2 linked regions of the Arabidopsis thaliana genome follow. The protein of the gene in region 1 interacts with the protein of each later gene in a biochemical or structural test. Each region holds a gene or a part of one and is shown in the gene's direction. Other genes may lie near its edges.

Evidence for each region.
Region 2: the proteins of AT5G06410 (region 1) and ISU1 form a complex in vitro, tested with the Arabidopsis thaliana proteins (one study listed by BioGRID).

The regions. Positions count from the first base shown.
Region 1 is NC_003076.8:1,958,724-1,963,080, reverse strand, and holds AT5G06410 (DNAJ heat shock N-terminal domain-containing protein), read left to right. Parts: upstream 1-1,922; 5' UTR 1,923-1,948; coding exon 1,949-2,247; exon of another isoform or gene 2,248-2,400; intron 2,401-2,431; coding exon 2,432-2,528; intron 2,529-2,624; coding exon 2,625-2,714; intron 2,715-2,797; coding exon 2,798-2,863; intron 2,864-2,933; exon of another isoform or gene 2,934-2,953; intron 2,954-3,007; coding exon 3,008-3,076; intron 3,077-3,080; exon of another isoform or gene 3,081-3,224; coding exon 3,225-3,362; 3' UTR 3,363-3,714; downstream 3,715-4,357. Other genes in the region: AT5G06420 (Zinc finger (CCCH-type/C3HC4-type RING finger) family protein), read right to left, coding at 211-333, 426-1,240, 1,362-1,560; AT5G06400 (Pentatricopeptide repeat (PPR) superfamily protein), read right to left, coding at 4,030-4,357. UniProt on the Arabidopsis thaliana protein: Co-chaperone required for the assembly of iron-sulfur [Fe-S] clusters in both mitochondria and cytosol. Required for the activity of iron-sulfur proteins such as aconitase and succinate dehydrogenase.
Region 2 is NC_003075.7:11,758,556-11,763,060, reverse strand, and holds ISU1 (SufE/NifU family protein), read left to right. Parts: upstream 1-2,003; 5' UTR 2,004-2,179; coding exon 2,180-2,477; intron 2,478-2,865; coding exon 2,866-2,920; intron 2,921-3,466; coding exon 3,467-3,617; 3' UTR 3,618-3,958; downstream 3,959-4,505. Other genes in the region: AT4G22230 (defensin-like protein), read right to left, coding at 404-606, 694-769; AT4G22217 (defensin-like protein), read right to left, coding at 4,095-4,282, 4,361-4,436. UniProt on the Arabidopsis thaliana protein: Scaffold protein for the de novo synthesis of iron-sulfur (Fe-S) clusters within mitochondria, which is required for maturation of both mitochondrial and cytoplasmic [2Fe-2S] and [4Fe-4S] proteins.

The DNA.
Region 1 (4,357 bases):
TGACGACTTAAATTCTGACGATGACTTACTAGGAAGTTGACTCCAAAACTTTTTCAGTTTGTTTAAATTTAAAAGTTAATCAGTTTGAAACAACCATCGTCATCCGAATATACAGTATATAGGCCAGTGAGTACAACAAAACAAAAAGCTTTCCTCAAGCAAATAATCAAATGTATAGTTTTTGCCTTTTTGTCCTGTGAAAGAAGGACTTCACAATCCTTGTTCAGCTTTACTCCGTTCTTCAGCCATTCTCTTCTTGATCTCATGTGCTGCATTGAAAATCCCCATTGTTGGTTGGTTACACACAAAGCATTTCTTGTTCTTCGTGTGATGCTGCATCATTACATTAAACAAAACTCATTAGTATTTCTTCACAACCAAAAAAAAAAACAGACTCGTAATTGTGATTTAAGTTATGATCATACCTTTAAAGCACAATGCTCACAGAAGTAATGCTTGCATTTGGTGACAACTGGATCAAGAAAAGGCTCCCTGCAAATGAAGCAAGCAAAGGGCAATGCATTTTCGTCTTCGTCGCTATCCTTGTCAGCCTCATCATCGTCATCCTCAACTCCCATAGCTTTATTTCTCTTCCTAACTTTCTCTGCCTCTTCCCACTCTTTCTCTATCTGCCATCCCGGCTTGTAATCCCCACGGTCATGCAAGAACTTACACGAATCTCCATATCCACAGTATCCGGTTTCCTTGTAATCCTTGCAAATGTCTGGCTGGTAATCGAATCTAGCCGATACTCTGATGTGAGCAGAAGCTCTTAAAGGCCCGTGTGAGCCTCCAGCTTTCTCGCTCGAGATTGTTTGTTCTCTTCTAAACCCAGCTTTGTGATCTGTATATCCATGAATTCCTTTGTACAGCTTCTCATCTGAAGCCTTTTTCTTATTCCCCTTCAATGCATGGTCTGCTTTTTTAAGAACTCTTTCACGGATAGCTCGAGCGTCTTGATTGAAGTCGGTTTCAGTTTCAAGGGTCGCTGTTGCTCCACTGTCGTTCTGAACCTGGATTTCCTTGGATGAATCGTAGTGAAAAACGGGTCTCTCAGGAGCTCCACTCGTTCTAGTAGATGGTCCAGAAGAAAAGTACAAGTTGCTATCGGGTTTTGCAACTTTCTTTAGATTTTGTAAAATAGAGCTTTCGCTTTTCGAATCTCCGTCTTCTTCATCAGCGTCAATGGTTCTTTTCCTTATGTTTTTACTTTTCGTTGGCTTCTTGAAGAAAGTGCAAACTGAAACAGAACAATGATTTGATTAGTGTAAATGAAAATTTCTAGCTAACAACGAAGAAGAAGAAAAAATCTCAATGAGGCAACAACTAGAATTGAGATACAAGGAAGTAGTATATGTAACCTTGTTGAGACTCCTGATTGTTGGAGTTGTCGTTACCAAACTCCGCCATGTTCATCACCGTATCGTTACCACCGATGCTACTAGAGTTAGAAGCGTTAATCGCAGAACCATCAGCTGACTCAGTGTGATCGATCCGTCGCTTCTTCATCGGCGAAGAAGCGGATGCGACGATGTTCTCCTTAACAACGAATGGTTCCATGTAGAGTAACTGGAAGAGAGAATATGTATCAAATAAGCAGGAGAAGCTTCGAATAACAAACAAAGACAAGAAATGATTTCCGATGACAAGGTTCCTAAACCCTAATCGATGAAGAAATCTGAAGATGAAATGAGAATTGGAGGAGAAGAAAACGAAACCTTACCCAGTGACCCGGTTGACCCGGTAACCCAGAAGGTATTCCGATTCACCGTCCGGGTCGGAGGCGATAAGCGGCGAATTTACTCGGTCTGGTACGATAAGATAAATATCTGGTTTTGGTCTTGTAACACTAAACCAATTTACTCGGTCTGGTTCGATTAGGGACAAGTAGTAGTAGTAATCGATACACGACGATCTCTCCAGAGCCAAAACCTCTCCTGATCCCGTAATGAAGAAAACGAAGACGATGGTGGCTTCCATCTCCACCCTTATTAGACGGACCTATCCTTCAACTAACCAGTGTAATTCACTCGCGACGATTCAATCACAAACCCAATTGCCTCGCGAATCTCTGCAACATCATTCTTCAGCTGAGGGACGACTCCGATTCTCCGGGAGAGTTTTCTGCTCGGAATCTGGCGCCGGATGCTGGAACTGTGGCGAGAAAGCTGCCTTTTTGTTCTGTAACTCATGCCGTAGCATTCAACCTGTTGATGACTCCGTCGACTATTTTCAGATTTTTGGCCTGTAAGTGTGTAACGAGTTGATTAGAATCTAGGGTTTGAGGAGAACCATGATAATAATGTGGATTCCTGTTTTGTTGGGCTGAGGAGAAATGATAGAAAGATTGAAACTTTTAGTTGAATTGATGCAAAAGATGAGACCTTTGAATTGGGTTTTGAATTTTCAATAACTTGTTGTGTCTATATAGGGAGAAGAAGTATGAGATAGATCCTGGAAGCCTTGAAGGCAAGTACAAAGATTGGCAAAAGAAGCTACATCCTGATTTAGTTCATAACAAATCTAAGGTCTCTTTGTTTCTGGATTCTCTTTTACTATGGGACGCAATGTTTATTACTCCTCTGTTCTTAAAAATTAGCTCTTGTGTTTTGAATTGTTAACAGAAAGAACGAGACTACGCAGCCGAGCAGTCTGCAAAGGTGACTGAAGCGTGCCGGACATTAACAAAGCGGCTGTCGAGAGCAATGTATATCGTAAGCTCTTCTTAACTTTCGTCATTACGTTTTTGAGGATTCTCCAAAGCTGCAAGTTTTCCTGAAACTATTTGATTATGTAGATGAAGCTGAATGGTGTAAATGTCAATGAAGAAGAAACAATAACAGACCCAACATTGTTAATGGAGGTAAGTGAATGTACTTGCCAAAGATTAGTCTTGATGCCATATATTAGTTTGTGAGACTTTTTCTTCTACCGTAAAGGTGCAGATACATGTCTGCCATAAATAAACACATTTTCACTTAGTTATATTCATTGAAAATGGTGTCAGATTATGGAACTCAGAGAGGCCATATCAGAAGCAGATGATTCAACATCGTTAAACCAGATCCGATCCCAGGTACCTTGAAAATTCCTGATTGAGCTAGCTTCCTTCAAATGGTCTTTCTTTCCGTTAGCTTTCCAAACACCTTAAAATCTGTAGCTCTGGGCATCGGTTGAATATGCCAAACTGATCTAACCAATGCGATTTTGTTGTTTTTCTCAAGGTACAAGAGAAACTAAAGCAATGGTCTGACTCTTTCGTCGAAGCGTTTGAAAGCCAGAAGTTTGATGATGCTGTAAAATGTATACAGAGAATGACTTATTACGAGCGAGCCTGCGAAGAAATTTTGAAGAAGCTATGAGGCAATTAGTCCTCCCTTAAAAACGAACACGTTTTTTTTTATGTTTGCCTTATAGCTTTACGGGTCACATTTGAAAGGAACAGATCATGGCTCATAACTGAAAGTATCTTAGCTACATGTTTTAGTTTAGTTATATAGAACAGAGGACTCTGTATTTGTAATAAGAGGATTTACAGATTTCGTATCTGTTCATGGGCTCGATTTATGGGTTTCACTTATGGGCTGTTTATGGGCTGTTTATGGGCTCGATTCCTAGAATATTCCCATGTATTCTCAAAAATCCCCAAAGAGAAGTCAGGCATAGCTCCTAGTGTAGGTGAATGACTGAATTCCCACTAAATCTTTCTACTCGTGTAAAGAGTTATTATAATTTTGAGATTCTCAACTTACTACTTTTTAGTTGAGCTTCTACTGTAAGTGTAAAGACTTGCTAAAACCACTGATTAGAATCAATTGTTACTTGTTCTCCTCGTTTCTTAAAATATAGCTCTTACTTTTTGAATTGTTAACAGACAGAAAGAGGACTTTGTAATAGAGCATTTACAGATTTCGTTGCTTAGAAAAAGATTTGCTTTGAATCAATTTGCATGAGTTTCTTCCCATGGATACAGAATTACAGTGATATGTCAGTGATAGTCATGCAGATACGGTATCTAAGATACGGTATCTAAGATACCGTTCGCTGTGCTACTAAAGCCGATTTCTTCTGTAGAGCAATCCGGGCAAGATCATGCTTGCCTTCTCTGTTTAACCCGTAGAAAACTGTTCGGAAATTGATAGTGCTTGGAGCAATACCCTTATCCAGCATCTCAGACAGAAGCTTCAGGGCATCTTCTGATTTGCATGCTTGGCACAAGCAGTTTATGAACTTACTATATGTTTTAAAATCTGGTGAAGTTCCTCTCTCTTCCATATTGCGGAATGCATTCCAAGCCTCTTCCACTTTTCCTAGGCTCATGTATCCACATATCATTGCCGTATATGTAACAACCGAA
Region 2 (4,505 bases), on another chromosome or scaffold:
TGTCTATACCGACGGACAAGTGTGTTTTCTCAACACATCTATTAAACTTTGTTAGGAACAAGTATTTATCAGTTTCTCCCTTAATTCAATTCTTATTTGTATAAATCATAAGACGGATAATTTAACATTTGCAAGAATTAATGTACTCGTATAAAATTCTTTTTGTTGATTTTTTCCCCTCCGATTTAGATTTCAATTAGACAAAAATAAAAAAAATAAAAAAATATGATGAATAGGTCAGGTCATAATCGGAAAACAATCCAACTTTATTTAAGACTTGACAATTCAAAACAAACAGATCTGTAGAAGGCAAACACTCAAATATAGATTTTGAGCTGAAATCATTAACATGCAAATCGCAAAACACAGACACAAAGTGACGTCGTTTTGTATCATTTGCAAATCACATGCTTTCCTTTTCAGCACCACGCTGTACATCACGGCAGCAAACACATAACCCCATACCAGTAATACCACCAACAGGTATGCATCGGCCTCCAATAAACTTGCTGTCCAATTGCTTGCATGGTTCAATACAAGTAGAGCTCTTCTCATAACTATTACATTCACCTTTATCGTAGTCACACACTTGCCTCCCATCTACTTCTGTCCAATCAATAGGAAGATACTACATTTTATAAACATGTTTTATTTTAGATCTTGGGATCAAAGACTTTGGTTTTTTTTACGTACCTGTAGGAGATATGAGGAGAATGGAGAGACAAACGACTACTGCAATAGCGACTGTGCTCAACCTTAAGCTCCCCATTAATTGCTTATTAGTTCTTAGCTTCTTTCTTTCTATTTTGTTTCCCTCTCTCTCTTTGTGATTGATTCATTTAGGCAAAAGGCGAGTTTTTAATTTATAGCTAGCACTGGACAAGTCGTTGGGATTAAAATGACGTAAGATATATGATTTTAAGACAAATCATTTTAAATAGTTAACTGAATACACCCCCGACTCTTATTGTAGATGATCAATACTATTGTATTGTGTAGATAAAGATAGATATTTAGAATCTTTCGTTTGATTTCTTCATTAAATTAGTCAACTTTTAGATACTAATCAACAATGCCAAAGAAAGTGGTAGATGCTAAATCAACGGAGACCAAGCGCTCATCATCATCATTGATTCATTTTTCCTTCAATCATATTTGTTTGTTTGTTTTTGCTTTTTATTAGTATATCTGAAACCTTTGTCCAAAAAAAAATATTATATCTGAAACCAATTGCATGCATAATGAAACTTAAATTTTTGTTTGTTTCTCGGTACCACATGTTTCACGGTATAGATGCATAATGAACTCGTGTCTTAAAATAACTTTATATTTACGAATCTATATGTACTACTTTAAAAAATACATATTAATATATTTTAAAATCCATATTTCTCAATCCTCAACTTAATTTGCTATCTAACTCGCTTCACGAGAAGCTTTCCAAATCTCAGATCTATTACTTGATCTTGCTTCCAATCCGTTCCGGTGGTGCCGTCTAAAAATAACAGACAAATATATTTGTTAATGTTGCAAAACGACTTTTCAAATGATCAAGATCAACCATTAACCAAATATATGTTTACCATAGGACAATGCACAGTCGTAGATGGCTCCTCACAACTTATCTAGACGAAGACATTCGCCTATAATGTTGTTATAGCCTATAACTTATAGGTTTAATTGTTATGATTAACTATACGTTAATGAATTAAGGTTAATTTTAAATAGACTGTTTCATCACTTGAAATTTGAGAACTTTCTATACACATACTAAATCATCATGACTATTGTTTGCGTAAAAGAAGTATGTTCCGATTCAATTGTAAACTTGAAAAGTACGATTTATGAGCGATAGGTCTTATAAACTATAACATTTGAAGGATATCAAAAATATAATTGAAAAGAAAAAGTCAACTTATCAAAATCTCAATCTAAAGTTTAGGTTAGCGTCTCAAGTTAGCTAATACTAAAAGAAAAAATCAAAGGAAAAAAAGAAAAGAAAAAAGAAATAGCAAATATCTCAGAACCATCTAAACCGTCCACGTGTCCCCTCGCTTATCTCTCTGTCTGAAACCAAACCGACTTCTTCTCACAACCCTTAAAGGAAAAGTCCGATCTCATTTCTCATTACCAAAATCAGCGGAGCAAAAGTTACTTCCGAAACCCTAAAAAAAACACGATGATGCTCAAGCAAGCTGCGAAGAAGGCCCTAGGGCTTACGTCACGTCAATCAACACCGTGGTCTGTTGGTATCCTCCGAACCTACCATGAGAACGTCATCGACCACTACGATAATCCCCGCAACGTTGGGTCTTTCGATAAGAATGATCCCAACGTTGGTACGGGACTCGTAGGAGCTCCCGCTTGTGGTGATGTGATGAAGCTTCAAATCAAGGTCGATGAGAAGACTGGTCAAATCGTTGATGCTCGCTTTAAGACTTTTGGTTGTGGTTCAGCCATCGCTTCTTCATCTGTTGGTATGTTTATATTCTAATTTCGTGTTTTGTTCGATTGAGGATTGAATTAGAGAAATTAAATGATTTCAATTAGGGATTTTGATTAGTCTTTCTCAAATGGAGAAATTAGGTTTTAAATTGATGGGTTCGTGTAGAGATTCGGTGTTCAAATTTGGGATTGGTGTCGTTAATGACAAATTAGTGCATGATTTGGTCAGTTGAGACGTTTTTATTGGTGATTCAATGCTGAATTTGTAATACTCCTAGTCTCCTAATGTTATTGAGAAAGATTTCATCTTTTTGATGCGATGTCGTCAGTTTCTGGCTTAGCTTCTATGTGGGAGCTATCTTCTCTCTGGGGATTTGTTGCTGTTATCTAATGTATGATTCATTTTTACGTTTTTTTCAGCCACTGAATGGGTGAAAGGCAAAGCTATGGAGGATGTTCTGACCATCAAAAACACGTAAGTACCGTCTGTTTCTATTCATTTTATGCAGATATTAACATAATCTGTTGTGAGTTGTTGTGTTATGCCAATCAGTGTTGTCTAATTGGTTAAACTCATTAAATGTTGATATACCAGTTACTGTGTTTCATGACTGTTATTTTGTTTTGAGGAACTTGGTCACTGGACTTTGTCTGTTGGTACAATATTGGTTGCTGGTTAGTATGCCCTGTGTTCCTATTCATGTTTTGCAGATTTTTAACATAAATATGAACACTCGTGTTATCTAATTGCTGCACTCATTGAATGTTGACATACCTGAGACGAAGTAATGTGATTATTTTGTTTAGATGAACTTAGTTACTGGATTTTGGTCAATTGGTCTGAGATTGGTTACTGGTTTGGTTTGTATGGTATTTAAGGTTTTCCAGCCTATAATGATGCAGACCTCTTGACTTCTTTTTCTTAGACAAAGTAAACATTGTGATTTCTGTCATGGAGTTTCTCAATATCTGAAGACTTACTCTGAATGTGTGCTTCTCTTTCTGTGATTTATTTTGCCAGCGAAATCGCAAAGCATCTTTCTCTCCCACCAGTCAAGCTCCACTGCAGTATGTTGGCGGAGGACGCTATCAAGGCAGCTGTGAAAGACTACAAGGAGAAGCGTGTGAAGACAAATGGTGCTGCAGCAGCAGGAGAAACCACACAGGCTTGATTCCTTTTACTAGTGTGTATACCATAATGTGTATATGATGGTGAAAACAGGGGAGAAGTAGAAGAGGATGATACATACAACCTATGGTATGTTGTAATGTTCAAGACTTAAGGAGTATTTTAGAATAAACTCTGTTCACAGAAACGTGTAAGAATGATTTTGCTTCGGCCCTGTAGTTTTTGCTGTTTTATGCACCGATGTGATGTAATGTTTTCTCTCTTCTTTGGGAGGTTTATAAATTACAACTTTGACAGACAAATTTTCAATTTTCAATTTTGACATTATAATTTTCTCTGCATGGAACTATGTGGGTGTAGCTTGACTTATCATCTCTCTGTTCCTGAATTGTCACAAAACATCCAACCTTTATTCGAAACGTTATCTCTGTTATTGGATTAAGCAGAGTACAACAAACAAAAGCAAAGCAGAGTAGAACAAAGCGATGTCGATTATATGGTTTCGGAATCACATGTTTTCTTATTGAGCACCGATACTATCATAATAGCAGCAGAAACAAGCCGTCCACACGCTCGGCCTATCCCTTGGACGGCACTTGCCATCAAAAAAAGTCTGTCCAGCCCTCGTTTTGAACTTGATGCAACTCTCCTTGCAATCACGGAAAGGAGTACAAGCACCTAATGGGAAGTCACAGCTTCCATCCACTTCTGTCGACACGAACAGCCACATACATTTATAACAAAAACTTGTGTATCTATGTAGTTAGAGATCTTGATTTTACGTACCGGTGGGAGATAGGAGGACCGATAGACAAACGACTATTGTAGCAACAACAACTGTTCTCAACCTCAAGCTCCTCATTGCTGATCTCTCTTTGTGATTTTATCAGCAAAAGGCTTTCAATTTATACGTCTCAACCAAACACATTTT